Linked DNA regions of Lonchura striata. The protein of the gene in region 1 purifies or fractionates together with the protein of each later gene. This does not show direct contact. Links are inferred from orthologs where the notes say so. Each region holds a gene or a part of one and is shown in the gene's direction. Other genes may lie near its edges. The genes, in order: SMC3, WAPL, PDS5A and PDS5B.

The links.
Region 2: the proteins of SMC3 (region 1) and WAPL purify together in Homo sapiens (affinity purification with mass spectrometry; 7 studies listed by BioGRID and IntAct, with this or other methods). This does not show direct contact. The link is inferred for Lonchura striata from reciprocal best matches to the Homo sapiens genes SMC3 and WAPL.
Region 3: the proteins of SMC3 (region 1) and PDS5A purify together in Homo sapiens (affinity purification with western blotting; 8 studies listed by BioGRID and IntAct, with this or other methods). This does not show direct contact. The link is inferred for Lonchura striata from reciprocal best matches to the Homo sapiens genes SMC3 and PDS5A.
Region 4: the proteins of SMC3 (region 1) and PDS5B purify together in Homo sapiens (co-immunoprecipitation; 7 studies listed by BioGRID and IntAct, with this or other methods). This does not show direct contact. The link is inferred for Lonchura striata from reciprocal best matches to the Homo sapiens genes SMC3 and PDS5B.

The regions. Positions count from the first base shown.
Region 1 is NC_134609.1:22,966,376-22,973,796, forward strand, and holds the start of SMC3 (structural maintenance of chromosomes protein 3), read left to right. Parts: upstream 1-4,420; 5' UTR 4,421-4,588; coding exon 4,589-4,603; intron 4,604-7,421. UniProt on the Homo sapiens protein: Central component of cohesin, a complex required for chromosome cohesion during the cell cycle. The cohesin complex may form a large proteinaceous ring within which sister chromatids can be trapped.
Region 2 is NC_134609.1:5,932,825-5,940,726, reverse strand, and holds the start of WAPL (wings apart-like protein homolog), read left to right. Parts: upstream 1-4,893; 5' UTR 4,894-5,178; coding exon 5,179-5,279; intron 5,280-7,659; coding exon 7,660-7,902. UniProt on the Homo sapiens protein: Regulator of sister chromatid cohesion in mitosis which negatively regulates cohesin association with chromatin. Involved in both sister chromatid cohesion during interphase and sister-chromatid resolution during early stages of mitosis.
Region 3 is NC_134606.1:23,095,197-23,102,729, reverse strand, and holds the start of PDS5A (sister chromatid cohesion protein PDS5 homolog A), read left to right. Parts: upstream 1-4,528; 5' UTR 4,529-4,651; coding exon 4,652-4,678; intron 4,679-5,467; coding exon 5,468-5,638; intron 5,639-7,533. UniProt on the Homo sapiens protein: Probable regulator of sister chromatid cohesion in mitosis which may stabilize cohesin complex association with chromatin. May couple sister chromatid cohesion during mitosis to DNA replication.
Region 4 is NC_134604.1:67,448,415-67,456,009, reverse strand, and holds the start of PDS5B (sister chromatid cohesion protein PDS5 homolog B), read left to right. Parts: upstream 1-4,590; 5' UTR 4,591-4,723; intron 4,724-6,183; exon of another isoform or gene 6,184-6,272; intron 6,273-7,595. UniProt on the Homo sapiens protein: Regulator of sister chromatid cohesion in mitosis which may stabilize cohesin complex association with chromatin. May couple sister chromatid cohesion during mitosis to DNA replication.

The DNA.
Region 1 (7,421 bases):
ACTGGCTAATGCTGTGCAGCCAGCATCTCAACTTGTAATTACATCCAGCCCTTATCAAACTGACATTCTTTAAAGGCTCTTACAGGCTTAGGGCTCCCACTTCTAAGTTTTGTGGCAGGCAGTTGCTCGCTGTCAAAATTACAGATATTTCTGCAGGTGCTGCTGAGGAGTCAGACTGTGCATTGCAAGGCATAGGTCACTACAGGGTTTGAGAGCAGCAGAGCTCAGTAATTTATTCAAGTCAAAAAGAAATTGTTGGAAAGGAAGTCCATGTCTGGTTTGCTTGCATTTTTTTCACCATAAGTGCTCCTTGTCCCGCAAAAGCTTGGTGGGTTGTCTGCATTGAGGTGGATGCATGTGCCAGGGTGTGTCAAGAAAGCATTGGTTTCTCCTACTTCACCTGCTGGGATCTCTAGTGAGTTCAAAGGTGAGAGAAAGATGCATTATGGCCCTGCTGCCTTAGGATTTAGGATTGGGTGTGTTATAGATAAAAATTGATACAGCCAAATTAAATATGAAAAATTAAAATTTTATTTTTAAGATCGAATTCTCTCTGAGCCAGCCACAAGAAAAAGGACGGTGCCGAGTCCGGGATCGGTGCTGGGTGCATCACAGAGCGGATAGCCTCGGCAGAGGTTCCCCCTATGCCCACACACCATCCTCTTGGCACAAGCAGTTTTTATAGGAAATATTCTTCCTGACGCCGGGATTTCGGGGAATCCGTCTTTTCTTCCCATTCAAAGTCCCACATATTCATAAAATCTCTTTTGTCTGTGTTGGGGTGGAACAATTCGGTGTCGGGTGGTGATGAATCTTCTTGATGGAGTTACGGGAGCACGGCATTCAGCTGTATCAGCCCCATCTAGGGTCGTTGCCAGGATGATCAGCCCCTGGGCATTCCTGTATCACCTCGAAGAACGACCCATCTCCGGGCGAGCAACATGTATTAGGTTGCAAATAAGGTTTTGTCAGAAACCGGTTTTCGAATATGTGGGGGCACCTCCCAATGCCAGCCCGTGTGCTTCCAACAATATCAAATATTATACATATCATATTATATTAGCGCGAATTACACTCGCTACATGTAACAGGTGTTCTAGGAGGAGAGGTATTCTTGGCTGTCCCACTGTTACCCTGCTTGACCTTGGGCAAGACACTTTCTCATTGCCTTTGTTTCCCAGCCTGGGCGTAGAACATCGGACTATCTGTTTCTGAGTTCAAATTGCAGGGTCTAATCAAAGTGTCAACTAAAATCCAAGTTCCCCGGTTTGCTCCTGAGATTCTGCTGCGACACCAGCACTAAGAAAAACAGTCTCCAGAAGTTCTGCCTCCCCTGATGATTTCAAGCGATGGGAGCACAAGAGATTGATGTTGCAGTGCACATACTGATTTATACAGGCATTTGAAAAAGGCAATAAATACCTCAGTGATTGCAAGCATTCATGAATGAAAGCAGCCTATACAAGTGTTGGTTCACAATTGAAAGTGGTAATAGAAGAGGTTAATAACACTTCAAGTGCTTTGTCCCTCCCTGCAATAGGTTTAACATTTTTTTTTCTGAGAGAAATTCTACTATTTGAGAAGACAGAAAAAAATCTACAGAAGTGAATTCCCATCTATATGTTCCTGGTAAGTTTAATGAAAGAAATGCTTGACATATTTTTATGCTGATGAAGACTAGATGAATTAAAGCAGTGTTCCCACTTCCTCCTTTCTGATGCTAATGTCTAATTCTAGCATAACTATGCAAAAACACTGCTTATAAAGCAGGGCCATGGAAAAAAATCTCTGCAGCACCTACGGAAGCAAGGTGAACTCCTCGTGTAGCAAGCAGTGATTATATGTTTGCAGGTTCTCAATATAGAGTGCTGTTTTACAAGCTGCCAGCTTTCTGCACTCCTACAGCCACAGCAACCTGACAGAATAAAAATTACATGCATCACACTTGGGTTGGAAGCATATTTTCAGCAAGTACTACAAAACCGAAAGAATAACAGAAAATATAATACCTACCCCACCACTCCACTTCCTCAAATACAATCTCTAAAAGCTGTGTGGCAAAACCTGTGTGCAGGGGCCTTATTTGAGTATTTGAAACACTCTTTGAACCAGACAATCATTTGCCACTTAATCCTTAATGAATACAGTTGCTATTTTTGCAAGCACGTCACACTGGTGAGGATGTTTGCTGATGGAATATCAGTGGGATGTGATTTTATTCTTATGAATAAATATAATGTGGTGTCTGTGCACATTTACATGCACACGAGCCCTCTCCAAATTGCTGGAGTGTGCTGTATATCCAAAGTCCTCGAGAGAGAATGAACACCTGGGGATAAAAGAGATGCCAGGTCCTTGTTTGTGCTTGTTCATAACAGAGTGATGCACTTCTTGGTGCACCTCAACAACAGGAATCTGTCTGGAGCACCAGATGTGGGCTGTTTGGCTCGACACAGGGCTTTCAAGAAGACTTGGTGAATTCAGGCACAAAAATGTCATTGCAGCAGTCAAGAGAACAGACAAATTTTCCTCAGCTGGTTTTTCTGAACCCCATCTTTAGGGCAGGAAGATTAATTCCTTGCTCTGGCAGTCTATGATTAAGTGAAAATAAGCTTCTGAACTACAAAGGAAATCTCTAAGGTGTGACTCAAGGCGTCCTGTACCTCTAAAAGCAGAAGACAAAGAGGAATGAACTTTACCATCTACATCCACCTGTCTTTAGCAGGAGATTGGTAGTGAGGAGATATCCAGAGAATTCCAGGTTTACTTAGAACGTGTAAAAAAAATCTGTGTAATCTAGGTTGTGTAAATGGATACCATTTATTTGCATGATAATATTAACATAAAAATAGATGTAAATAATTCTTTTAACCAGGTGCAAAATAGTTTAATTGTGTTGTAAGGAAAAGTGGGGAATGTGACTTTTGTTTATTTTCTTAAACTCTCTTCTCCTTCCTGCCAGGGGTGTCCTGAGATGGGCCAGGCATGTGGGACCTGAACTACAGGGCATATCTAACTCACTTCACCTCAGAAAAAGCAAAGAAGGGTAAATTTAGTATCACAAACGAATCCCAGAAAGATACAGTGAGATTTATTTGAGGATTTAAAATTCCCTGAAATCCTAAAATGAAAGGGATTTTGGAAATGCAGATAGAGAAAATATTTTTTCCTTCAGTCACATTGAACTAAGCTATTTAAAAGCCAAATGAGACAGGCAGGAAATTTTCATTTTGAATTTGTTTGTAGAGTAACCATTAAACACTTTAGTTTTTTAAGCCCTATGTTTTCTGAAGAAGCAATGGACCATTTCTTTATAGGTACTGGTAAAATCTGTTACAATAGCTTCTTGAAGGGCTGTTAGCAAAACCATTTAATTACATGGCACTTAAGAATGTCTGCGACTGGTGAGATTTTCCCATTAGAAAAGAGAAGTAATTAATCCATCTATTATTTTAGGAGAAGCAGAAACTTTCTGTTTAAATCTAGTTTTTATTAGTGTTAAGAGGCTCAGAGGCAGAATTCTATGGCATGTCTAGAAGTGCTGGCTCCAGCTGCAGTTTTGAAGGAGCACTGTCAAATCGAAAATTGCATTTTCTCTGAGATGTCGCACCCCGACTGTTGTCACAACAACACCTGAAATCACCGTAAGTGGAAGAGATTAGGTGAAAATTAATGTTTCTCTCCCACCATTTTGCTTATTTTTTGTGTGTTTGACAGCTCCTCCGGGGAGCTGGATAGTGGCTCGGCGAGGTAAAGGAGCGGGCACGGACTCCAGCCGAGCTATTTTGCTGAGGATGCTTCGCAGCATCGCTGTTTGCCACCTCACCCCGGCACCCGCCTGGCTTCGCCCAGACTTTCGCCCTGTGGACGCAGAACTCGGCCCCCAGCCCTACACAGCCTGGAGGACGTGGCTGAGGGAGCGGCTGTGCTGCGACAAGGGGCGCATCAGTGCAGGCTTTAAGGCCTATTTTTTATCATCATTTTTATTTAAAAGAATTATTTTTAGATCCTGGAACGGGAGCCGGGTGTTCAGACCGAGCCTTTATTTGCCCCCACTCCCGCGCAAGCGGCCCCTCAGGGCGGCCCCGACAGCGCCCCCTAGAGGCGCGCACAGCCCCTCGCCCCGCTCGCCTCAACTTGCCTTTGGCGCCCAATCCGCCCCTCGGCGGGAGAAACCACTTCTCCCAGCTCTTCGGGGGGGACCCGGCGCCCGGGAGGCAGGGTGCTCTGCCTTCCCCGCTACGCAGCGCCCTCCAAAAGATCACCGAGGCACTTTAGAATATTGGAAAAGGAAATTCCCGCTGCTTCACGCGTTGTCACTTCTTCGGCGGTACAGGAGAGCATTCTCTGCTCCGCAGTTCTCCCTCCAAGTGGCGCTGGATGGTTCGCGCCAGGACGGGACGGGGCGGGTCCGCCGCCATTTTGTTTGCGTGAGGGGTGAGCGGGCCCTGTGCGGGGAGCGGGGCACGGCTGAGGGGGCGGGAAGCGGCGGCGGAGACCCGCGGTCAAGTCGAGCGTTCGGACCGGAAAGAGACGGCGAGGGCGGGCTGAACGACAGCCTGGCGGGCCTCCCCCATCCTGGGCAAATATGTACATCAAGCAGGTGAGCCGGCGGGATTCGCGCCGCCCGCACTGTGCGGTGCGGCCTGTGCCTGGCCTAGGGGGTTGGCCCATCCCGCCCCTGGGCTGGGGGCTCGGCACGTTCATATCTGCCCGGCCCGAAGCAGGTGGCCCGCGGGCTTGCGGCGGGCTCGGGGTCCTTTGCTTCGATCTTTTCTGTCCCGGGGGTCGGATCGAGGTCCAGGCTAAGGGAGGCGCCCCCGGCCCGTCCACGGGTCAGGTCCTACCGCCGGCTGGGCAGGCGGTGCTTTCTCTGCTTCTCTGCTCCCCTTTCATTCATTGCAGGTGTGAAGAGACGCTAGGGTCTCTTTCATGGACCCGAGACTTGTTCGCGGGGCCCCTTTGTACGCCAGCCCCGGTGTCCCGGCCGCTCGTACCCAAACAAAGGGCTGCTCGGCTGTCAGCAGCATCTTTCAGCCGTTCACATTGTGGGGTCTCTGCTTGGGGTGCTGTCTCAGGCCCCCGGGCATGAACCATTTACGATTCACCCTTGCCAAACGATCTATGGCTGGTGCTCAGTTAAAAGGATCCTGGTATACACCTTTTTGTATACACCTTTTTCAAACAGTTTTTGAGATCATCATTATATTACTTCGGCAGTTTCCCTGCAGCCAGTTTAGCAGCAGATTTTTATTACTGCTCTCGTATTACTGCATATGTGTGTTCATACAAAGCCTACCAAGATTCTCATTTCCTGGTGGACTCAAAATTGACCTGTTTCTCACACCCTGCAGGTGCTTTTCTTAAGAAGAATACTTTATTAGCTTTGAAATGCCTGTTCTTCATAGATACCAGGTTTTCATCTACTGTTTGGCTGATTGGGCGGTGTTTCAAACGCCTGCCTTTTGATTGTACTTTTGTAAATCACTCTTGATTAATCATCATAGGTGGGCACATTGCTTTAAAGACTTTGAATAGGTTTTGTTCTCCACATTTGAATTACTGAAAAGCAAGCAGTAGTGGAGATCTATAGAGTAAGTCTAAATTAGCTCAGAATAGGAGAAACGTTTCATTTTGACAAAAACACCAAGAAGGAAATTTGGGTGGCCAATAACCAATACTGTTATAGGGGCTATAGAAGAAAGTGTAGCACTGTGCGGGTGTGAGAACAAAAAGAATGAGAATTAATTTGATTCCATCAGTATCCCCTGTTTTGTTGTTTTTCAGAAATTGTTCCTGGAGTTTGAACATTAAAAATATTTAAGTCTTAATCTGAGTTGATACAAGGCAATGAAGAAGTCATGAGGTTTCAGAATATGTAGGATGGGTGAAGTGATAAACCATCTAGAGAAAAGCTTTGGGGAGAAGATGATGGTGTTCAGAGCCTGCCTGTATCACACTCCCTTGGTGCCCGGGTGTGTGGCTGCTGAAAGTTTGTGCTTCTATAGCAATATTCCAGAAATAGTAATTGTTTGGGTTTGTCATTTTGTAGAGGCTTCCAGGTTCTTATGAGAATAAATGCATTATTCCAATTCAGATGATTTTTATATATTATGTGAAAAAATGAAAAGTGGTAGAGACCAACTTTTTTGCCCATTTTTTAATTTCTCCCGTTCCCCTTGAAATCTAGTGAGTTTGGAAGCAGCACTGTCTCAAAATGTTTGGATTTTAAAAATATTTTTGTTGTTAAATATGTTAAATCAAAATGAATGAACATAGTTGCCGTGGCCTAGGGTCAGTGGCAGGATCTGATTAAGATATTCTGTTCCTGCTTTTCCTTTGAAAGCTGCTGGCACAGAGCTTGCTGCTAAAGTCTCCATCTGGCAGATGAAAAAGACTGTTTTTTTAGGGGAGGTCGGGTGTTTGTGTTCACAGCCACAGTACCTGGGCAGTCTTCAGTCCATACATTGTCTTAAACTTGCTGTCTGTAGTTGGGTCCGTTAAGTTCTGAAATCTTTGATTGCTTCCAGTGCAGTGGATCTGAATACAGTGCAGGTGGTTAAAGAAAACGGTGTCTGGCCTAAGGATTGGCAGTTCAGAAGAGGTTTAAGGTGGGCAGAGTATTGAAGGAAGCTGCAGTGGAAGGCTGTTCCTTTTCCAGAGTAGCTTCTGCTTCGCTCTGATGTTTGATAGTCAAGGATTAGTAATTTGCTGCCTACCTTTGGATTCCAGTAATGAAATAATTTTGCAAAGAGAATTTGACCATAAAGCCACAGTGCCTCCTGGGAAGAGAAGGTCTCTTGAATTCTGACTAAAAGTTAGTTAATGTCTTAAAGTGGCATTTCATTTTGGTTTTTATAAATTCCAGTGTTTGATTTGCTGTCTGACACGGCATTTTCATTCAATATTAGTGAGATGGTTTTAATCCATTAGTACAAACAGGTGATAAGAGGAGTTTTCCAAAACAATACTTTAGTGGCCTGTCACATAATGGGAGAAAGACTGAAGATCAAACTTGACATGAATAAATATTGGCATTTTTTTTCTCCCAGTCTTTTGTCCAGTACTTTTTGTGGGCAGGATTTTTTCCCCCACTGTTTGTTTAATGCTGACAGAATATGAAAGCAGTGCTGAAGGTAGTTGTTTCTTGTGGTGCTGGAGTGTACATGTAATAGAGGCTTTTGTGGTAGTGAGGAAAGGCTTGCTTAAATGTTTGCAGTACTACTTCTAGGCTTTTTGCTGAGGTTGAATAAAAAGTATTCTGCTCAGTTTCTGGAGTATGAGCTACTTTAATACTTGAAGAGAGAAGGAACAATGTATTCAGAGAAATAGAAAATGGTGATGGGACCACAGACCTTACAAACAAAAAATCTAAGTAATTTCATATCTTAAGCTTCAGCACTAATAATATTGAGAAGTAT
Region 2 (7,902 bases), about 17 Mb from region 1:
GGCTTCTGTGAGAAGCTGCCAGATGTCTGCCAGATCCCTTGTGTCTGATTCAGCCAATGCCAGTTGGCTCAAAGATGGACCCAGCACTGGCCAAGGCCACACCCAACAGTGATGGTGGTGGCACCTCTGGGATAACAGATATAAGAAAGGGAAGAAGAAAACTGCCCAACTGCAGCTGGAGCGAGGAATATGTGAGAGGGGGGAGGAGATACAGAAAACTGGGAGCAAAGAGCCTGGGAAGAGGGAGGATGTAGGGAAGGTGTTTCAAGATTTTAGTTTTATTTATTTTCTTGACCCATGAGCCTTTTGTTTTATTTTCTTTCCCCTAGCTAGCTGAGGAGGGCAGTGACAGAGGGACTTTGGTGGACACCTGGGATCCAGCTTGGGTCAACCCATCATGCCTGACCAGTGAAGCTCTCAGTACAACCCTGCCCTTCTTGCCCAGTCCTGTGCTGCTGCTGGGGCTGGTGCTGCTGCCCTTCCTCCAGCATGCTACTGGTGATACTAAAGTCTTAGTCACTATTTTAGGAGAACTAAAATATGGTAATTAGTTACTTCATGTGTCTTTTTACCCTCTCTCACCTTTGCTGTGCAAATAGCAAGGGGGAAATTCTCACCCCAGTGAATCAAAATGGCAAGGGCCTGTGTGCTCTCACCCATGTGTGCCTGTGACATTTGAAGGACAGCAACAGGAGCACGGTGACTTTTGGCAAAGAAAAAGCAAAAAGCACCAAAATGTTTACCATTGTAAATGGTGCTAACTGGGACATGAAAGCACTGCAGCAGCTGTGAGTGCAGCAGAACATCCTCCTCACCCCCATCCCTTCCCACCTGGGCAAGAGGCAAGGAAGGAAGCACTGCAGGAAGCTGAGAACTTGAAAGGCAAATGGTGACTAGGCTGAAAGGCAGAGGAGGAGTGGACTGAGAGGCTTTCAGCTGTGATAGGAGCATTTTAGGCATGAGGAGCATGGGGAGAGCTGGCCTATGAGCTACTGTTTGCTTCTTGGGTAGTGCTTCACAGGGAAACAGGGCGATGGATTGTGAGCTTATTCCCTTTCTGTGGGAAAAGGACTGGAGCAAGGGTGTATTATGGTGTTACTTCATGTACTTGATATAAAGGATACCTACTGCTATGGTGCCTTTAAAACCTGTAGCCTCAATCATGCTGCTGTTACTGTCAAATGCTATGTTCTTTCCATGAGGCAGCACTGAGAAACCTTCCTGACAGCTTTCTGGGAGGATGTAAATTCTCTTCATCTTCCCCAAGAGTATCTGCTGCACAGGAAACCTTCTGTTTTCCTACTGCATTGCCTCCCTTTTATTTTGGAAGATACTGAAACAGTTTTAAATGTTTTAATATTTTTGAAAGGCTCTGTACTAGGCTGTAGCTCATTTGGAAAATTCTGTATTGTTTGCCCTGCACAGGTCCTGGCACAGAACCTCAAGAAGAGAACTGAGAGGGGTCCAGAGTGTATTAAGATCTGATGTATCCAAATAACTGTTCTGTCCCTCTTATGTGTTCCTTCCTACTATGTTTTTATCTCTTTTATATCCACCTTTGATGCATTTGAGCTGTGTTTTTCAGGACTTTCTGACTTTATTATAAGCAGCAAAGATGATAGTTTCTTTTGGGAGGTTAGGGGGGCAGGCAGTAATGGGAAGCTGTAGGATTCACTTTGGTTTTCCCAGAAAATTTTTAAGGTAGAAAACGTACAGTTTGAAAGTGGCTGCATATCTCCCACTGCTGTTATAATGAAGACAAATGCCAGTCTGAAGTGCTTCATAGGCTGTTTTTTTTTGTGTGTGTGAAAGGATTTATGTGGTTGGTGTTTTGTTCTGGGGTGGGTTTTTTTGGGGGTTTTTTGGGGGTTTTTTTTGGTGGTTTTTTTTTTGTGTGTGTGTGTATGAATGGAGATGGCAACTATCAGTAATATAATTTCACAAAAAGCATAAAATGCCTGTTAAATTCCACTCTCTGAGAATGAAACATAGCTACTGCCAAATGCAGGTGGGATTTGGCTTTTATTTGCTCTGCCATGGTACTTGCATATTTGAGGTGAGCCAGATGCAAATGGAAATAGCAAAGTGTAACGTGTTAACTGCTAAGCTTATTAAGATGCAGGGTGTCAAAATTTTCAAAGTACCTTAAGTATGTTGGGGCAGTAAAACTGGCACATCTCTGCTGTTCTTGAACACAACGAGGTTTGTTTTTCCCATCATCATCCTACCAAAACGCTTCACTTACAGGCTTCTGCTGGTACCCAGGATAGGATAGGCAGCACATAAATAAGTTTAATTTATCCTCTGTTAGTCAGGGGTAATTCCCTCATGACCATGAATCTGCAGTGGTTTGGATTATTCGGCGAGGTTTTTACAAAGACTGGAAATACAGCTAGAAATATGAAGCTAGCCCAGGGGTATAAGGTGTGTAAGAACCTTCAAATACATCTAATTACTATCTGGAAAACTCTCTACATTACTGTATAAGTGACTTAGGTAGTCCAGGCTTTACATTGGAAATAGATCTAATTTAATTTTAACTCTTCCAGCTTCATATTAAAATAGAAACAATTTCCTAATAGTTTCTTGGTGTTGCTTCCTTACTCTTCACTTTTCTGGCCATATTCTTCACTTTTTCTGATTCTCAGGACAAACTCTTATGTTGTAAAGAACTTCTCAGAGCCTCAGTGTTTCAAGCTCTCACAGTTGTGTTTTCCTCTTTGTCTAACAGATCAGTCACCAAGTAAGACTATGCAAACTGAAACAGGTTTAACTATCCATTTTACTCTTGGAGTTTAAATGAGCTATTTAGTGGCTCTAATCAAGAATACTCTCAGGAGAAAAATCTTTTCACTTTTTGTAGTCAAATTATGGATTTTAAAGTCTGTACCATGTTTTCCAGGGGCTCTTCAATAACTGAGTCAGGTGATGAGATAGAGGTGAGCTTGTAGGCCTTGTCTGAGATACAACACAAACCTCAAATGGAACTTATACTTCTCATTGCAAGGCCCCGTTTGTTTTATCTCCACTTTTTCCAACACTGCCAGATGTATACTGAATTTAGAGAGCATGTTCACAGCATGTTTGTGCTTCAGAAGTAATGCCTGAAAGCTCCAACACATCAGTAGGGATGGGGCAAAGACCAGATTTACTCAAGAGGATCACGAAACAAAACCAGTCTTGCATCTTTTTATTGTGAGGCAGTGATTTTGCATTGGGTAAAGTAAATATAAAATTAAGAAAACACCTAGAGGTATTGAGACAACTCTAACATCTTCTGCGCAGTCAAATCAGCCTTTTAATTAGTTCTGCGTTTGGGACTTGTAAAGCCTCAAATAAAGGTTTGAGTATGAGCATGTGTTGTGAAACCATTTTAGACTCCAAAGTTGTAGAATTTCACTTGACTTTCCCAAGTTCCTCACTCCTTTGAAAAATTACTAAACTACATCTGCGTGATGTTGTTTAATGTTTTTCTTGTCATGCATCCTTACTATTCTATCCCACAGGGATGTTGTGAAATACTACCTACAGAATATGAAATGGTGTTTTTGGCGACTGTTGGATGTCCGTATGTATTTGCTGCATGATACAATCCTCGTGGAGCATTTTTGCTCTCCGCACAGTGCGTATCGTTAATTAACGCCTCAAAGGTGTGCATAAATCTGTGGGTGGCTGTAACAGCTTGTGGAAATGGGAGCATGTGAGAGGCGCAGTTCGGCAGCCTGGGCGGCCCTTCCCGCAGAGCATGTTTCCTGCGCGGAGCGGATGTGCAGGCCGGCTCTGCGCGCCCAGCGTGAGTACCAGCCCAGGGAGCGCAGGGGCTCCGTGCCCCGCACGACGCACCGCAAACTTCTGTGGAGTGCACGCAGGGCCGCCTCAGCGCCTGCCGCCTTCCCGATCCCCCGGGCAGGGTTCTGCCCCTCGGCGGCTGCACACGGGCCGGGCCGCTCCGCACCCCTCGGCGTGCGCCGGGACACACCTGGGCCCGGGCGCCACCGGGGTGGGGCCGCTCGCGGCGGGCCCCGTTGGCCCAGCTTTCACAGCCTCCGCGCGGGCCCGGGCGGAGGCGGCCGCGGGGAAGCGCCGGCTCCCGCCGGGCCGAGCCACCCCGTTCGGTCCCGGCTCGGGCCGCCCCGCCGCGGGGACCCGCCCGCCGGCTCCGGGGGCCGGGCCCGGGCCCCGCGGGGCCCGCGCCGCGCCACAAACTACAACTCCCGCCGGGCACCGCGCGGATGGGCGCATGCGCGGAGGCGGCGCGGGCGGCCGAGCGAGGCGCGCGGCGATTGGCCGCGGTGGCGGGGGGCGGGGCGCGCGCGGTGACGGCAGGAAGGAGCGGGGGCAAATGGCGGAGAGATGGTCCCGGGGCCCGTCCCGAGCGCGGCGATAATCCCGGCGCGGAGGAAGCGGCGCCGGAGGAGGCGGCGCCGGGGGCCCTGACGCCCGCGACACCCCGGGAGGGTCCCGCTGCCGGAGGGGCGGAGGCGTCCCGCGGGCTGAGCGCCTTTCGCAGGCGGCGCTTCGGCGGCCCGAACCCGCGGCCGGAGCCACATCGGCCGGGCCCGCGCCCGGCACCGCCGCCACCGCTGACGCCGAGGTGGGTGCGGGGTGAGGGGGCGGCGGGGGCCGAGCGGGCCGCGCACCCCGCGGGCTGCAGCCGCCGCCGGGCCCCCGGCGCTGTCCCGCCTGCAGGGGCGTGCGGGGCCGCCGCCCCCGGCCCGGCGCGAAGTTGCGGGGCGGGAATTGGCTCGGGCCGGCGCGGGGGGGTGCGGCTCCGCGGGCCGCGGCTGCCCCGGGCACTTGTGTAATGTGGGCCGGTGGGGCGGCGGGGCGGGCGAGGCGGCCGCGCGGGACGGGAAATGACATCAGGGAGCGGCGGGGTGACCCGGTTCCGCTCGCACCCCCGCCCCCCCGCCGCAAGGGGAGGGAGGAAAAAAGAAACTGTCACCGTGGGATTTCATCAGCTCCTTCTGCCTCCCTGCATTTAACCTATTTTTCTTTCCTTTGATTATGTAAGAGGAGCGGTGTAGAGAGGAGCGATGAGTAGGGGTGGCCGATGGGCTTCCTGGGGAATTACCGGGTTTTTTGTCCCCAGCTGGTCCGCCGAGTTAGCGCTGGGAAAGGAGAGAAAACTGTGGTTTTTGGGTTTTACGTGTCTTTACGTTGCTTGTATTGCTCCAAATGGTGCAGCACAATGCAGGCGAGGGAGGCAGGGAGCGGAAACAGAGTGAGATTACACCAAGTGTTTTATTTCCGTCTGAGAGAAAAATCAAGAGAAAATTGTGAGTAAAGAGAAAAATCCTGTTCTGTTGATGCTCTCGTGTAAGAAAGCACCTCTTTATGCTCTTAAATCTAAGATATAAGAGTATAGCATAGAGTATTTATATTTTCCTAATACTTTTAAACTGTGCACATTATATTGAGTATTAATTCGGGTTTTGGTGTTTTGATTTAAAACTTATGAGATGAACATAATTTTAAAATTTATAAATAAGAAAATGGAGTTTACTTTCTGAAAATTAACTCCTCTTGACTACAGGAATCTTCCCTTTGGAACTGCAAGCCCCAAGCTATACTTTAAATTTGTCATTAGTTTGCATAGGTTGGGAACATAGTATAAAAAATACTTGTCTGAGTACTTCTTATAGTGCTTATTATAACTAATACTTACTTGAGTCTTGAGGGTGTAGGGAAGGAAAATATGCTGGTGGTCAGTGAAATGGTTTTTTCTTTCCTGTAAGTTGTTAGAAACTGAGATATTAGTAAATATTTTACTTCAGCTTCTACAGTTCAAAAACCTGGCTATTCTGGTGTAAAATATTTTGGTTGCTGTTACAAATATTTACAAGCATCAGCAAAATAAAACTGGTAATTTAGATTTTGTTTGCTGTTTGCTTTCTAAACTATGTGTAGATAGAAAACACAAAATTGGAGCTCCATGCAGAGGAGAAAGAAAAGGAGTTTGGCAGTGATATGTGTGTGGAAAAGAGGAGGTGGGATTCAAGAGCCCTGTCTCCTAGGAACAGCCAGGAGCCCTCTGAAGAGTGGCTTTTGCAGCAGAGTTCTGCTCAGCAGATGAGCACCTGCCTTTACCCTCCCTCAGCTGCACCACGGGGGAAAAGAGCCTTTCCCAAAGTGGGTATTCCTGTAGCTCTTCTGCATTGCATCACCATCCACCTGGTAAACTTCTGAAGTTCAAATGTGATCATTTTAATGCACTTTAAATTTTCTCCATGGGTTTTCTCCCCGTGAATTGCTTGGTTCCAATGGTAAGTGAAGGTTGGTCTGGTCTAATAGAGGGAGACTATTATAGTGAGACAGTATTGCTAGAATGAAGTGATAGAGGGACATTTCTGGAAGGCAGTCTGGCAATTTTGGCAGAAGCAAGACTGCCACTTCAGGTTGAGAAGCTGTGAGTGCTGAGATGAAAACTAAAATAGGAATGATGGTATGTCACATATTCGGGGAGTAATAATAAAAACAGTTGTATTGAACAAATAGATCATTATAAGTCCAATAAAATTATTTTAACTGCCATTTTTCATATACTTTATATGAAGTTAGTTAACATTTCAAAAGTTAGATTTCTTTGATTCTGTACCTTAAATAACTGTCTTTTTTAGCAGACTTTTTTCTGGTATGGAGAGGTATTTCAGAGAGAAGGATGGAATTGATTAGATTCAGGCTGACTATAAAGAATTGCAATTTCCTATCCATGTTTGGGCCAAAAAGAGAGAAATAGTGGTTCACAAAACAGATATGAGAGTTTGGGGTTTGTGTTGTCATTTGTCCAGCAGTTAGTGTTTGTTTTTGGGTAAAAATCTTTGAGTTAAACAAAATTAGAAAAAGAGCACATACAAGGAACTCTTAAATGTGTTCCTGTTTAATGTGTTACTTTTACACTTCTGTTCCTCTGAGCAGGCTGTGGAGCAGTTGTGCTTGTAAGAGCCAGTGAGCAGTACTGGTTTACATGGGCCTGCTGAAGGTGTCCTCCATGTTCTTAGAGGTGGATTGAGCAGTGTCTCTGTTCTGTCCCTTGACGAATCAGATTTACCTGTGGGGGATTGTTGTGCACCAGTCCTGACCACATAATGTTACCAAGTAAAACAACTGTTACGTGAGTCTGAGTGTGAGAGATGAATGTGGGATGGAGTGGTCATCATTGTGATTAATTAGTACTTAAAATACATCTACAGCAATGTGAAATATTCTCTCAGTTTTTGTATTTAACTGGCAAGAGATTTTTTTTATGCCATGCTATGCTGTTGGACTCTAGGAGGGAGCTGTGTGTTCAGATGTGGTGAAAATACTGCTGAGTTGTTTCATGATATTTTATGATAATGCCTTCTATACTTGAAAATATAAAATTAGAGAAAAGCAATACCATTCTTAGAAGATTTTCTTAACGACTCATTGTGCCATTGGTTTATAAATGTGCAAGCAACTGAATTTCTTTTTATTTTAGTGGGTGCTTAGTGCAGAACCTTTTGCCATAGTGACAGTCACATGTCAATGAGTGCATCTAGAAAGAAACACGTGATGGAGCTGTTGGTTGTGTGCAGTGTACATGCCTGGTGCTTGTATGCCCAATAAAGGGTGGAAGTAACAATAATTTGTACTAGAAAAGTGATGAATTGATGTTTCTTCTTTCTTTCACAACAGAGAATATGAAACAGGAGCCAAAATGACATCCCGATTTGGAAAGACCTACAGCCGGAAAGGGGGAAATGGCAGTTCCAAGTTTGATGAAGTGTTTTCCAACAAACGGACCACCCTTAGTACAAAATGGGGAGAAACCACCTTCATGGCCAAATTAGGACAGAAGAGGCCCGGTGTCAAACCAGATATTTCTGAAGTTCCTAAGAAACCCAAAGTTGAAGATGAGGTAACAGAGGATCCATTTGG
Region 3 (7,533 bases), on another chromosome or scaffold:
CAGAACAGGTTACTTAGAAAGGTAATGGATGTCTCATCTGTGGTAACACGCAAGGTCACACTGGACAGGGCTTGGAGCAACCTGATCTAGATGGAGATATCTCTGCTTACTGCACTGGACTGACTAGATGACCTTTAAAGTCCCTCTCTACCCTAACTATTCTATAGTTCTGTGATAACTGCCCTATTTCCAAGCATGATTCAGAATAAAGGCATTTTTAGGCAGCACATGGAGAAGTCCTCCTTACCAAAACCAGAGCAAAAATAACATTCAGACAAATCATGGCTATGGATCAGTTTCTAAAGAGTTTATCATCCATACAGTGTGTGGTCCTTCCCTTTATTCAGAACTGGTACTATTCCATGAAGACTCAGTGAGCAGTGAGATTCTTCCACAGGAGCACTTTGTGTCTCCATGACTGTCTTTATGACATAATACACATAAGTCCTCTTTTACCGATTTTATCTTGTCAATGTAGAAAATGGGAGATATACAAGTCCCTGGTTTTCTGGCAAAGCTCACTTCCTGGGCTCTTCTAAGAGTAATTTCACTGTAAATACCCCCTGGAATGGAACACCTTTTGGAGCTTTTTCATTATAGCAATGCACATTGTCAAGAAACTCACCTCTGACCCACCTCACTTTACAGCAGATGTAAAATACATCAATTATTAAAATAGGCAGTTAAAACAATTAGGTGGTGTTATCGAAGATATATTATAATGCAATGACAGATATTACTTATTGCAGTTCACAACACAGTGTCATGTCTTAATGTCACTGTTTACTTCTTAGTCATTGTTACTATCTATGTTTACTGTCTTAATAAAGACCTGAGGAGAACCACTAAGCAGTTTCTGGAAGCATGTGAGCATAGCTTAATTTGATCAACATGAATTAAAGGATTTTCTATGCTTGAAGTAATCACTCCGTACTCTCTTCTGTTTCACCCAAAGAGTGTTTTGTTCTGAAAACCCTGTGCTGCATTATTTTTGCTACCAATAAAACCACATTTTTCCTTTCTTGATCATTTCCTTGAACCTGTCCTATCACAATACAATAAAAGAAGTGCCTCACAAAGCTGACACACAGGTATTCGGCACCCTTTATTTCAGTCTGCTTATGAATAACAATTGCAATCATAGTCTAAAATATAATCAAAACAAACAAAGGCAGATCAGAGCAAATACATACCAATAAAAATAATGTGAGTGAAGGTAATAAAATTCTGATGCAAACAGTAAAATCTGGGTAAAGACTAAAGGACTCAGTAATATTATTAGACAGCCATCCAGTAAAACCCAAGGGATCATGTGAACCTGGCTACAGCTGTACAAGCACAGTCCAAGTCAGATCTCAGCTGCTTGCTGAAATTAGAAGGGTGAAGGTCAAACAAGCAAAAGCAACAAACCAGAGACTAGCAGCTGTAATTGTATTTGATGACAGCAGATTTCAAGACTATACAGATTAAGGAGTGCAACAGGTCAGATTATCTGAAGCTTTTATGTTTTTACATTCTGAAAATGCCATGCATATATTCAAACTAATTGGCAGTTAAGTGTTCATTAATTGGGTGTGATATCGAATCTACATGCTCTGTTTTAGCCCTTTAGAATTTCAAATGGTGCAGAAGTTCAAATCCCACTGCTCTTCTGAGAAAAGATAGAACCATTGCCTAATCAGCCCATGATTACAGAAATTTACACCTACTCCTCTCAGCCACTTTGCTGATATGATTTGTCCAAGACTCACTCAAAACACTACATATCTGGCTAACATACTGCTGACTAATCACTCATTTCCCATAAAAGCAGGAATCTTGTGCAAACTCCTTGACAGTCAACCTTCCACTGATGCCTTTCAAGACCTACTGTGTTATTCTAACTTCACTATTTATCTGAAATCTGAAAGAAGACAGAAAGATCTTGGTCCACAGCCAAGAGTACTTCAGTGTGGGGAGTCACTAAGAACTTTGCAAGATGAAACGGAATTTTAATTGAATGAGCAAACCTTGCCTGGCTCTCTCAAGTAAAATCTTTTAATTGCCTTGTCTAACTACATGCTACTTTCAATGTACATATTCCTTACAATGCAAGACATTATCTTATTTGGTGAAAAATAAAAGTGATTAGAATTGCATAATGAAGGCTTTGCATTGTGTTTGTCTTAGACTAAAAGCAAGTTGTGGGAGAGTAGCCCTTAACCATTATGTTCTTAGTCCTACTTCACAACCCATTGTATAAACAATTCTAAGTAAAAATGGCGTCAGTTTGTTGAAAAAAAATCTTTTAACTACAAGATTACAACAAGAAGTTATGCTATTGTAGATCACACGAATGATGTACATAACACAGTGCTTTTCAATAACAACTAAATAATATTTGAAAACAAATATCAAAATCCATGAAATTCAGACAGGTCAAATTTCTGGAATGCAAAACCTGTAGCACTTCAATTCTGCCCAAAGAGAAGTCTGCCTAACATCTTTCTAGCTTTATGTTTGGTTCATGAAAAAAACCTTAGCAATGGACTCTTTCAATTAATTTATTGCTTTTTACTTACTTAGATTATTTTCCTATTTAAAGTGAAAAGAGCTCATATAGGTTTTTGATATACATACTTTATTTAGTTACAGAATAATCTTCCAGGAGTTGTTCCTAATTTATTATGCTATCAGAAGTGTACTAAAAATAAGGAACCTACACCAAATGGTTTATATTAGTAATTTGATTGGAGAAGGAAGCACCTTATGTAACAAATTTAAGGATAAAAGACCCAAATATATGTTCAATGTATATAAGCTCTGACAGTACATCTCATTTGATTGACAACAAGTTAAAGCTGATAGCTAGTCTCAGTACTTCAACATTAAGGCAAATCTAAATAGCCCCTTCAGTTTAGATTGGGAAAAAAGATTACATGCTTTATCTATTTACTAAAATCAGTACAACCTTAGGGTCACCTGTCTATTGTCAATGTCCAAATCCACTGATCCTTAAGCTGACAGAGAATCATTTTATCTAAGTCTGGATTCACAGCCAGATTTAAATGCCTGGTTTGATGACACCCTTCTAAATTTCAAAATCAGTGTCTGAGATTCTCCAAGTGTTCATTGCAACTCTCAGTCACTTTCACTATAATCCTTTTAAGCTGGTTTCATAGAGGCTGTGGACACTCAAGGCTTTAACTCCCCTAGGACAACAATGCAGGGAAACGAGGACCACAAGTGTAGGATAGCAATTTCCTACCCACATGCTATTACACCTGAAGCTCCAAAAAGCTTTTCAGTCTTTGTACGTTTTCCACCCGCACCTTGTAAAGCTGGAATTTGGCATACTTCACCATAATCTTACTTACCCCTATCCCATCCCCTCACCCTCCTGCACCTTTCCTTTGCCACTGCCAGGCCATGCTAGCTACCACCCTGCTGTGCGTAGAGAGGCTCCTGTCATACCTGTGCAATCCCCATGGAGAGAAACATCCCTCCATGGAGACTAGTCCTGACCTCCCACCTTCAACTTGCTCTAAAGAAAATTCATTAGAGATTTGCAAAATTAAGAAAAATAATACTTTTAGCTGGTTTGAATAACAAAAATAAACAGCTGAAGACCTGAAATTAGTCTTGATCAGTTAAGAGTCATCTTTCAGCTGTCACACATCTTCTCTGAGCAGCATGGGCATCTAGAAAATATTTCATAGCCACCTACACTTCAAACACGACACGGTACATACTGCAGATTCAAAACAAACAGATCTATCCCACTTTGTTATTGCCTTTCCAGACATACCCCATCCCTTCGAAATACGAATATTAAATTAGAAAGACATTTTGCACGGAAGGATTTCCTGAGCTGGCTGGCGAGGGCTCCTTTGGTCTGCATAGTCAAGTTTCTCCTTAAGATTTACAACCAAAGGATGGATACTCCTCTTTCCCCTCATCTGCCTGAAGAAGGACTGCTCACTCTCGCCGGCCACAGCACTCTGCCCCCCACACTGTTTCCGCACACTCTTCTCTATCATGCTGACCAGGCCCCAGACGCCTGAGGGACCGGCCCGCGCAGCCACGAGCGGCCTGGGCTCCGTAAGGAAGCAGCAAAGTAACTCGCTTCCCGCGCTGCAGCCGCGAACCCGCGGGCTCGCTCGCTGACACTGCCGGCAGCCGGGCATCGCCGCTCGGCGCCAGCCGGGCATCGCCGCCCCGGGGGGATTTAGGAGCCAAGCTGAGGCAGCGCCGCTCCAGCCCTCCGTGCGCACGGCTCCGCGCGGTGCCAGACTTACTGGGCGGCCTCGCCCTCTGCCCGGGGCGGGGGCTGCGGGCTCCCGGCGGGGCGTCGCCGCCGGCCGCGGGCGGGCAGGGGAAGGGGAAGGGGAAGGGGCGGGGGCGACGCGCAGGCTCCGCCCGGGCTGCGCTTCCCTGGGCGGGCGGAGAGCGGCGCTGGGTGCCCGCGGCGCACGCTCCGCCCGAGCCTCCCCCTCTCTCCGGCCGCCGCCGCTGCCGCTGCTGCCGCCACCGAGCCGCTCCCCCTCCCCCAGCCAGCGCTCCCGAGCAGGAGCTGCCGCGCCGCGGAGCAGGAGGCGGCGGGAGTGCCCAGGGCAGCGGCCGGCGGGGTGGCGGCGGAGCGGCGAGCACCACCCGGCACGGAGGCTGCTCAATGCTGCACCTTCCGGAGCTGCATGAGGTAAAGGCGGCTCCGGGTCCCGCTTCCCCCCGTGCTCGCTCCCCGCTCCCCACGGCCGCGGGGGTGTGTGCGCGGAGCTGGGGCTGCGGGGGGCTCTTTGTGGGCCCGGCCGAATGCGGGGCGGCGGGGCGGGTGGGGGGGGTGCGGGGCGAGAGCTGAGGGGACATGAAGTTGCGGGAACAAATGGAAAGTGGCGAGTGGCCGGGCCGCCTCTCCGGGGGAGCTCCTGGAGGCGCGGGAGGGCGGGCGGGGGGCTCTGAGGGAATGGGGGGTTCGCGGGGGGGTTTTGTTTGCGCTCTCCGCCGCCTCCCTCCCTTCCTCCCTCCCTCCCCCTCTCCTGTTGGCTTCTCTGCCTCCCGATAGTTTTGAGGCCTAACTGTTTAGGCCTCGTCTCCCGGCTCCGAGCCGGTGTGCCGGCTCTGAGCCATCTCCTGGGGCCGGGAACGGCGTCCCCGGCCCACCCCCCGGGCCGTAAGGGGCCCTCGGCCGCGGGGTATCCCTCGATTTGGCCCCAAATTTCATTGTAAAACCGTCGGCTGCGAACTAACAGTGTCGGGCTGGAGCAGCCTGGCAATGAAAGGAGGCGCCGGAGGGGAGCGAAGAGGCCCGAGTCGCGGGGAGCGGCGGCGGGCCGGGCCTCGCTCCCGCCGGGATGCGGCGGGGTCAGCGCTGGGGGGCGCGGCCGGCGGGGCGATAGCCGGGGCCTTCAGCGAATTGAGGGTGAGGAATGGAAAAAGAGGGTTAGAAAGTCGTTTCCATTCTGCTGAACTTTTGTTTTCTGACCGATAGAGGCCGGTAGAGGACTGTGGAGAAGGAAAGTTTATAACCAGCAGCGCCAGGATGGACTTCCCTGCTACCCAACCAAAACCCGCTGCCGACGGTAAAATCATCTACTATCCTCCTGGAGTGAAGGAGATTACGGACAAAATTACCAACGATGAGGTGGTTAAACGGTTAAAGGTGAGCAATTCTGACTACCACTCCCCTCCCTGCAACTTTTACTTGTTAAGGTAAACATTTTATCGCTGGAATGGAGAACTGCCAGAGTTTTGTTGTCCTTCCTGCCTGCAGACCTTTAAGGGAATATGACTTCATTGTTTTTCCTTAAGAGTGGAGGACCCATTTTTCCCATATTTTGTAATTCATTACTGTTCTCTTGTGCGTTCTCTCAATGCTGGATTTGATACATTAACTGCTAATTTGTACACGAAACATATCCACAGTCTAGAGAGGAGATTCGAAGTGGAATCATAAGTAATAATTACAGGATATGCTAGCAAAACTTTTTTGCAAGCCAGGTGGTTTTTTGGGTTCTGGCATTTGAAGAAAGTATAGTTGAGCAGAGGAAACAAGTAGGTCTACATAAGGGTATTTATGATTGAAAAGATCACACTGTTTGCAAAAAACAAAGCTTAATTTGTGGACTTTATGGATGGAATTTTGAAATAGTTTCAAATGTAAAACCTGTTTCAAGATTTTTTAACTTAGTGTGATACATACTGTTTTTTTCCTATTTAGTGTAATTGACAAAATTGCTAAATTTTCTTGAGCAAAACGGATTGCTAGAAAAGCATCTTCTCTGCTTGTTTGACAGCATCCTGGAGGAGTGCAAGTCTTGCCTCTTTTTTACTTTACTAATTCCTTCTTCCACTGCAAAAAAAATTAAATGCTACTGTGATACAGTAGGATTATTTCTTAAGTCCATGCTGAAAATAGAGAATTAAGTTGAGCATTGATCAAATATTGACACAGCTCATTTGTTAACACCATGGTCTTTGGACCAAAGGTTTTTGTAACCTAGGATTTGGTCCTATGCCCAGGATGGAGTAATAATTTCTAGAGATTGGAAATATTCTATCATCTGATGATCTGTTTCCCATGACAGTAAAGACTGAAAAATAGAAATCATGGTCTGGACAGGTCAGTTAGTACATTAAAAATTTTTCTTAGGTATAAATGTGAGGAGAACATAGGCTTTGTGCTTTGTTTTTTAAGCAGTTAGGCTTAAAAAGTGTTTTTTTTTTTTTTTTTTTTTTTTTTTTTTTTTTTTTAATGAGCCTTGTTGTCCATTTATAGTTTTGAAAATTGTTGAATGGACAAGTTTGGCCTAGTATTTTCAAAACTGCAGTGGAGTGTTGCCAGTTTCAGGAGAGGATACTAGAGTTGTGACTGTTTAGACAGATACCTCAGATTAAAGTCTGTGGAATGTAAAGGAATGTAGTTTCGAGGTGATCCTTGAAACAAATATTTTATTTTGTCCCAGTTGGTGGATCTGGAATGGTGAACTATGTCATTTCTATATAATAGGAATAATGAAATTTCAAAATCATATATACATGTTTTACTGAATTCATGTGTGTGTTAGACATGCTTTCCAGGCTAAGAGCAGACTTCTTTCCTGTTGTTTTTTAATGAATTATTGTTACGGACTTCAGACAGCCAAAAAATTTGAGAGTAACTTCAAATAGAAAAAAATACTTTGCTGCTGCACCTACTGACACTCTTTTTCTGTCTGAAACTAAAGAGAAAGATTTTTCTTACAGTATTGGTACTGTTTAATCTGAATTAGAGGAATTTTTTTTGTCAGGTATGGACTTTACTGAAGCATTAAGAAAATGGGAAGTACTGTACACTCTAGAACTAAACCAATGAATGTATTTTTCTTTATGCTTTTGTATAATGTGTATGTTCATTATGAAGTTCGAGCTTCTTTATATCAACTTAATTTACAAAAGCAAATGCATTTTGGTATGTGGAATGTTATGGTGATGCTGTGCTTGGGATAGAAATTCTTGAAAAAGTTTTGTTCAATTTCTTCAAGTTTTCTTCAGAAGATAACTTTCTAGAACTTTAAA
Region 4 (7,595 bases), on another chromosome or scaffold:
TTTTAATGTTCTCTTCCCATGCATGTCTCCAACTAGGCAATGACCTCTTTAGGAAGAAGTCAGAGATAAATATACATCTACAGCTTGTTCCTGAGGACATGTTTGTGAGGGCGTAATGCTTCTTGCTTTAATAGACAGACTTACTTTAGTAGGTCATTTAATCTTAATGGTGTCCCAGTATAGCTATTAATTATTTAATGAAGAAAGCAGAGGAGTGGGTGGAGTGAAAAGCTTTCTGCAGTCCTCACACTGAAGAATAACATCACATCCTTGTATCCTCTCTAGTTTTGTTCTTGTTGGGTTTTGTTTGGTTTGGTTTGATTGTTTTTGTGAAATTCCATATAGTACATAATGACTCTTGTCTTCCTATTAGAAAACAGCCACAAGACAGGCACAAATAGGTATTTCTGGTAGAATCAGACTTATTAGCACTAAGACGAAAGTGGTACTTTTAAACTTCAGAATTTATATTGGACATATATTGAAGCTAATAGGTTCTGAGCATCACTGTCTTATGTAGCTGTTTGATTTTTGTTTACAGGGAGACAGTGTTGGAAACAGCACACACACACAGAGTAAGAGTCTAAAAATTCCAGTCATATAAAGTCATTATTTCCATGTGGCTTCCTTGCAAATTACTTAAGAGACATATGAGATACTAAAATTAGTTGCAAAGTTAATGCAAGTTCATAATATTATCAGCTATTTAGTTGAAGAGGAACACCAATAAATGAACAAATCTTTCTTTCTAAAAAACAAATCAGTACACCTGCAAGTAGAAAGCCTCCCTCCTACACGTCAAAGGCTCCTTTCAGTGTGAAGGGCTCAATATATAAATTACATATATTTAATCTGAATTGTTTTGCTAGTAAAATACTTTTGATGCAATTGTTTTAGAGTGACAATTAAAAGGGAAACAAAGGGAAGTGTTTTATCTATGCTGGAAACAAAAAGTATCATTTTCACAAACCAGATACTACCTTGACAGTTGTTCATACTTACACTGAAAGGTCAATACCATAGAAGAGTACGATCACAGCGCCAATGCATAAAGATAATGTGCTGGGAAAGGGCCAGTGTAGTTTCTGTGAAGGGAGATAGTGACTCTATCACAGACTTCTAGCAGGTTTGTGAGTCAGGAAGTGCATGGACAAGGACAAAACAGGGAACACACTTGTATTTTTAAAGAGCATTTCTGCACCTTTCTTATTACAAGTTGTCAAACAAAATTGTACTGGAATTGATGTAAATGTCCGATGCTGAGTTGGAAATGTGGTTGAAGGATGGAAGCAGAGAGTACTTTTGGTTACTTTCTCATGTGGAGAAAAGTCAGCAAGTCTCTCTCCCAGAAATGTTTGGGCTTCCTTATGTTGTTTTATGCAACAATCTTTGATTTTCATTAATAACCTAGAAAAGGGAATGCACACAGAATGACACATGTAGGATGTTAAACTCTTTCAGGTAATCAGGTGCTTCAGAACTTCAGAAGGCCTCACAAAAGGGGGTGGGTAAAAAGATAGGCTTTGAGAACTAGATCAGTGTAAGGTAAAGCATAGAATCACCTATCAAACTTGGAAGTCTAAGTTCATGAAATCTTGAAGTTGCTGATGTCAGCTTTCTGAAATCTTTGACTGAAACTGCAACAGCAACAAAAAAAAAAAAAAAACAAAAAAAAAAAAAAAAACAAAAAAAAAAAAAAACAAAAAACAAAAAAAAAACAAACCAAACCAAACCAAAACACAAAAACTAAAAACCCAAACACTAAACAACAGAGATGTAAGGTGTCATCAGGAATAGTACTGAGAGCAAGACAAATGGCAGTTTGCTGCTCTGAGGGAAATCTCAATGCACTCATATCTTGAATACAGTGCACAGTTCTGGTCTGTAAGAACACAACAATTTTAAAGAATGAATTGAGAGAGATAACTAAAATGATTCAATGGGAGAGATTGTCAATCTGATAAAGTAGGGACTAAAAGGCCCTTGTCACTGCAGTCTTCTGTTTTCACACAATGTTTTTTACAGACAGAAGGCTGTGAGAAGAATACTGCTGTGTAAGGGTGTTCTTTGACTATGTTCATCATTGTCACTTAAACACTGAGATATGGAACATGTCTTCAGCACACACAGTGTGGAGCACAAGTCCTTTGGCGAGCAACTGAATGAGTGGGGTTCTTTAGTCTGGGCAAAAGGAGGCTGTGGGGGTCTTATTGCTCTCTATAACTGCCTGAAAGGAGGTTATAGTAAGGAGGGGATCACTCTCTTCTTTCAAGTAACAAGTATCAGGAAAAGTGGAAATGGCTTCAAGGTTGTGCCAGTGGAGGTTTAGGATATTAAGGAAAATTTCTTCACTGAAAGGGTGGTCAAGCACTGGGACAGGCCCTCCAGGGAAATGGTGGTGTGAACATCCCTAGAGGTATTTAGAAGACATGTAAATATGGCATTTGGGGGCACAGTTTTGTGGTGGACTCAGCAGTGCTGAGTCACTGGTTGGGCACAGAGATCTCAAAGGTGTTCTTCAGCCTTAAATATTTCTATGATTCTGTGTAAAAGATCTGGTCTTGGAAGTTCTGTGACACTGACATTTCTTATATGCCTTACTGCAAGCAAAATATTTATTTTGCACAAATATTTTCGATCTTTCTCAAGTATGCTGTTTCTGTAAGTAACACAATTTTCCTACACTTCCCGAAGGTTGCAAATCCCCTAAAATTTAGCAAGCCTGCTTCGAGTCACCAGTTCCATGAGAGATGCAACGTTTCTGGCGGGGAAGGCTGAGCCTGCCGTCGGGACACAGGCAGGGCTGGCAATCTTTCCGGGTGGGACGGCACGGGGAAGGGAGCGGGCGCGCGTGGCCCGCGCGGCAGGCAGAGCCTCGGTTCGCGGCGCTTCCCGCGGCGGTGAGCGCGGCGGCGGCGGGCGGGCGCCCCCCGCAGGGCCGCGCGCGCCACTGCCGAACCCGGGCGGGGCGGGAAAGCGCGGCTGAAGAGCCGCCTCCAAATCCCCGATTCCCACATCGTGAGGGGTCTCGGCGCAGGCAGGAAACAGGGCGGAGCGTGCCTAGGGGCGTCCCGTTATTCAGCGCCCTGGCCCGCTCCGGGGAGCGCCCGCCGCTCCTGGCGTCCTGATCGGGCGCTGGAAGTGGTGGTACTGTACCTGCTCCATCAGAAAAACGGAGCACAACGGAGCCATCTCAGCGCCCCGGTTGCTTTCACAGGCATACGCTGGGTTTTGCAATTTCAATAGCAGTGTTAAGAGAGATCAAAAAGTATTTCAGTTTTCTGCTGCTTTGTAAGTATCCTTGCAGACATCTGCAAGTGCTCCACTGGGAAAGGATGTGTTCCCCAATCTAAGGCTTTATACTCCATGAACTCAGATAGACAGCAATGTGGGATTTGAAGGGAAATTATCCAACCTGCATCAAAAAGTTGTATCTCGACTCCAAGTCCAGGATCCTTCTCAATACAAAATTGTCAGACAAACCTTCTGCTCTTTTATGTCTCTACTTTTTTTTTTTTTTTTTTTCCTTTTTTTCCCAGAAGGGAAAAAAATCCCTGGAAAAAGTCACTGGGAAAAACAAAACAAAACAAAACAAAACAAAACAAAACAAAACAAAACAAAACAAAACAAACCCCAAAAAACCCCAAAAAACTCAAACAAACAAAAAAAAAAAACAACAAGGGGAGTTTGGGAGCCTGCAAAGTGATTTGTATGTAATAGTTCTTGTTGGGCTGATGTAGTCTGTATTAGAAAATGAGGTAGTTTAGCACTGAATAAAGATAAGGCATGCTGGGTACAATATATTAGCAAGTTCAGAAAGCTTCTGAGAGATTTGAACCACTAGTTACAATGTATTGGCTAACAGTCTTGTCAAAGTGTTTTTCACACTAGACGAAGCTGTGGGTATATTTCAGAAGGTCTGTTAAGTGTGATTTGTGTTTTTTAAATCATAATCCTGTAACACTTACATGCTGTCCTGATGAGTCAGGGGAAAGTTCTTCCAGAGGATGGTCGGGCACTGGGACAGGTTTCCCAGGGTAGGGGTCACAGCACCAAGCCTGCCAAAGTTCAAGAAGGGTTTGGACAATGCTCTCTGGCACATGGTGTGACTCTTGGGGACGGCGCTGTGCAGGGCCAGGAGCCGGACTCGATGATGCTCATGGGTTCTTTTCAACTTATTCTATGGTTCTACAATAAATGAAGCCTTTTAGCTGCAGTGGCAAGAAGAAACCACCTTTACTTTTCTGTTTGCGTTTTCCTGTAAGGGCCCCCCTCAAACTCTTGCACTCACTGAAGCAAGAGCAAAGTGACTTATGCTACTTTTCCTGCTCTTTCTCCTCAGTTAAGCGGCTTTATTCCTTTTTTTTTAACAACAATCCTTTAGTAATTCGCCGTTTTGGGGAAGCGTTTGCCTCAGTCGCCCACGGCGCGCACATCAGCGGGAGCCGGCCCGGGCCCACCCTCAGCCCCGGCCGGGCCGGCAGGGGGCGCTGCTGCCCCGCGCTGGCCGCGCTCGCTCCCCTCGGCGGTTCTATTGGAGCAGCCGGAGACGAGTTGGCGCCATTTTGAAGCCGGCAGGGGGACCGGGGCGAGCTGCGGAAGGGGAGGGGGCTGGCGGCGATTGGCTGCGGCGGCGGCGGCGGCAGCGCCTCTCCGAGCCCGAAGCGGCGGCAGCGCGGAGCGGACCCGCCTGCGACCAGCGAGGCGAGGCGGCTGCAGTGGGGTAAGGAGCGCGGCACCTCGGCCGCAGGTACCCCCACCCCGTCCCCGCTCCATTTTCCCTATCCGGGGGCGTGAGGGACGCCCGCCCGGACCGAGCTCCGCGGGCAGCGCTGGAGGCGGACGGGCAGCAGAGGGGGAGCGGGAGGGCAGAGCTTCCCCTGGCCCGCGGTGGAGCTCCCCCTTCCCATCCCCCTCGCCCCTCCGCGGGGCTGCTCCCCTCCCCCCTTTTCCGTGGCCGCCGTCAAATACTGAATTCCCCCCTCCCGCCCGCCGCCCGGGGCGATGGGGTGACCTTGGCTGGGGTGCGCGGGGGCCCGGGGGTCAGCCCCTCGCCCCGGTGGCGCGGCGGGCGGTGTCGCGCCCGGCGCTGGTGGCTCCTCGCGGCGCGGAGTGGCGGGGAGGGGGGGTGGGGAGGCTGCTCGCCCGTGGCTAGGAGCGACTGAGTGAGTGGCGGCGGCTTCCCGGGTGTCCCTTTCCTCCGCGCCCCGGGCAGCCGGCCTGCTCCCCGCTCCGCGGGGCTCCCGCCGCCCCGCGCGCCTGCTTCCCGGGCTGAGCGCGGGGACATCCCCGTCCCCTCCGCGCCCGCTTCGGTCTCTCCGCGCCGCACTTCGCAGTGCTCCTCAGCGGGAAGAGGTGCCGGGGACCGCGGTTTGCTGCGTTCCTACTTGTGTGCGAGCCCGGTTCTTTCATGCTGGCTTAGCTTTTTTTAATTTTTTTTTTAATTTTTTTTTTTTTTGCCCCCTTCCATTCCTCCTCTTTCTTTTTCCCTCCCACTTTGCATCAGGCTCGGGAAGGGAGAACGGGGGGGAGCTGGGGGGGGGGGGGGGGGGTGGTTGCCGCCGCCTGGTAGATGGAAAACTATGAATTTTACATCTGAATTGCCAGATGGAGAATGGTTAATTTATAGGTTATGTATTGTTTACGTTGAGAGCCTCCGGTCAGGAATTTAGGTCCGTAACTTCATCCTGCTGCAAGTAAATCACTATCTGTTCTTTAAAACAAATCGACAATTAATGATGGTCAACAGTCCTGGAAATTAAACTGCAGCAGACCGGCTCCTACAGAGCTGGATTTTGTCTTGCTAGCCTTATTCCGACTTTTATGCTTGCTAGCTTCGTGGTTGCTTTCTGAGAGCTTTGATTATTTAGTTAGGCGTTATGTTTTCCCGTTTAATACAACTGCTGAAGCGTTCTCGTGTTGGTCTTTGTTTTGTGCTTGCCGGGTGGGTGCTTTAGCTGTAATTGATTTCTCTTCACTGGGGATGGAGTAGAAAGAGCGTTGAAAATTTGAGTGGCTTTATAGTTGAAAATGAGCATCAAATCACGTTTTGGGAAGGGAGTACGGTGATGTGCATTCTTTCAGGTTTTCCCCTTTCAAACTAGTGGAGTTGTTCAGTTTTCAGGTGGTAGAAATTTTGCCTGGTATGTTTTTTATGTTAGATATGCTAGATATTACACTGTGTAAAGTAACTCTTCAAAAAGAAGTGGAAGAGCTGAATGTATGCCATGCTCAGACCACCTGAAAGAAGACTGACAGTGACAGGCCATCAGGTAAGGTGGTTTAGCAGAGGTGTGTGTATCATGTGCATCACAGCGTTTGAAACGGTGCACTGCTGGAGGAAGTAGTTTAGTACTTTAGCACTTGCATGACATCTTGTGTCTGTGTCTGAAGCAAGGTTGAACTTAATTACTGTAAGGTTGAGGGTATGATGTGTCTGGGTGGAGTGTGGTGTTTTGTTTGGGATTTTTATACAGATACTATACTGTAGAATTTGCCTATGCGTTTCTTGCATCCTCTTTACTAGTTAGTATACAGATTGGATAAACTATGGTTCAGCTTTTAATGAAACAACTAAATTAAAATGGAAAATCATATGTTTAGTACTTGCATACAACTTCTTTTTTCTCTTGTAAATAATGAATTTAGACTTTATCTAACATGAGTACTTATGAACTGAAATTGAGCAAGTCACCTAAGTCATTATTAAGTTGTAATTGACCATATAAAAGCTGAAAGTCATTGCTACCATTTGGGAAAGCACAGTAATGAAATATGGGCATAACCTCAAGCATTATCCATTTTTATCCTGTAGAACAGGAGGTTCTGTTACCTCCTATAAATTGGGAGAGATGCATTTTCTTTTGGGATGTTGCTCTCTACCAAGCTTTCAATTTATGCCTTTTTCCTCTTTCTTCATTCAGTCACACAATTTATAGCTTTACAGAAGAGTAAGAGGGTGTATGTGTATTATGGGTATGAGTCTTCTGGTTTAGTAAAGGATTTTCATTTAAAGGTGTTTGGTGTTAATGGTTTTTATTTCTTTAAACCCGAATTGGGAGAGGTGATAAAGACTACTTGTTGCACAAGGAGAATTTTCATGGGAGCAACAAATAAGAAAATGTGAAGCTGAATAGTAAAAGTATGCAAAATTTGAGATGGAAGGAAAATGTGATACTGCAATTCATTATTTTTCCCTATCAGTTTCACTCTAATATCCTCTTCCTTTATATTGCTTGCCCCAAATATTATGCCAAGAAAGAGGAAGGTATGTCTTTACTTCAGAGAAGTTCCTTTTTAGAATCAACAAGTAGTTCTGATATGTTCAACATTGTCTTACCACTTGTCAGTATCATTCTTCTTCTAACACCTATCTAAAGTAATGGTGTCTTTACTCTTATCACAAAATATCAGTACTGAACCTGAAATAATCGTCGGATAGACTGAGAGAATACTGGAGGCTTTCAGTCAATTCTGAAACTAGGTGGTAAGGGAAAAAACTGAGGAAACTTTTAAAAGGTGTGTTAGTGTGATAGTGCTTAGTGGTGAAGTGTGTTCATTTTCCAGATCTGTAGACCCTCTGGAGCATCTGAACA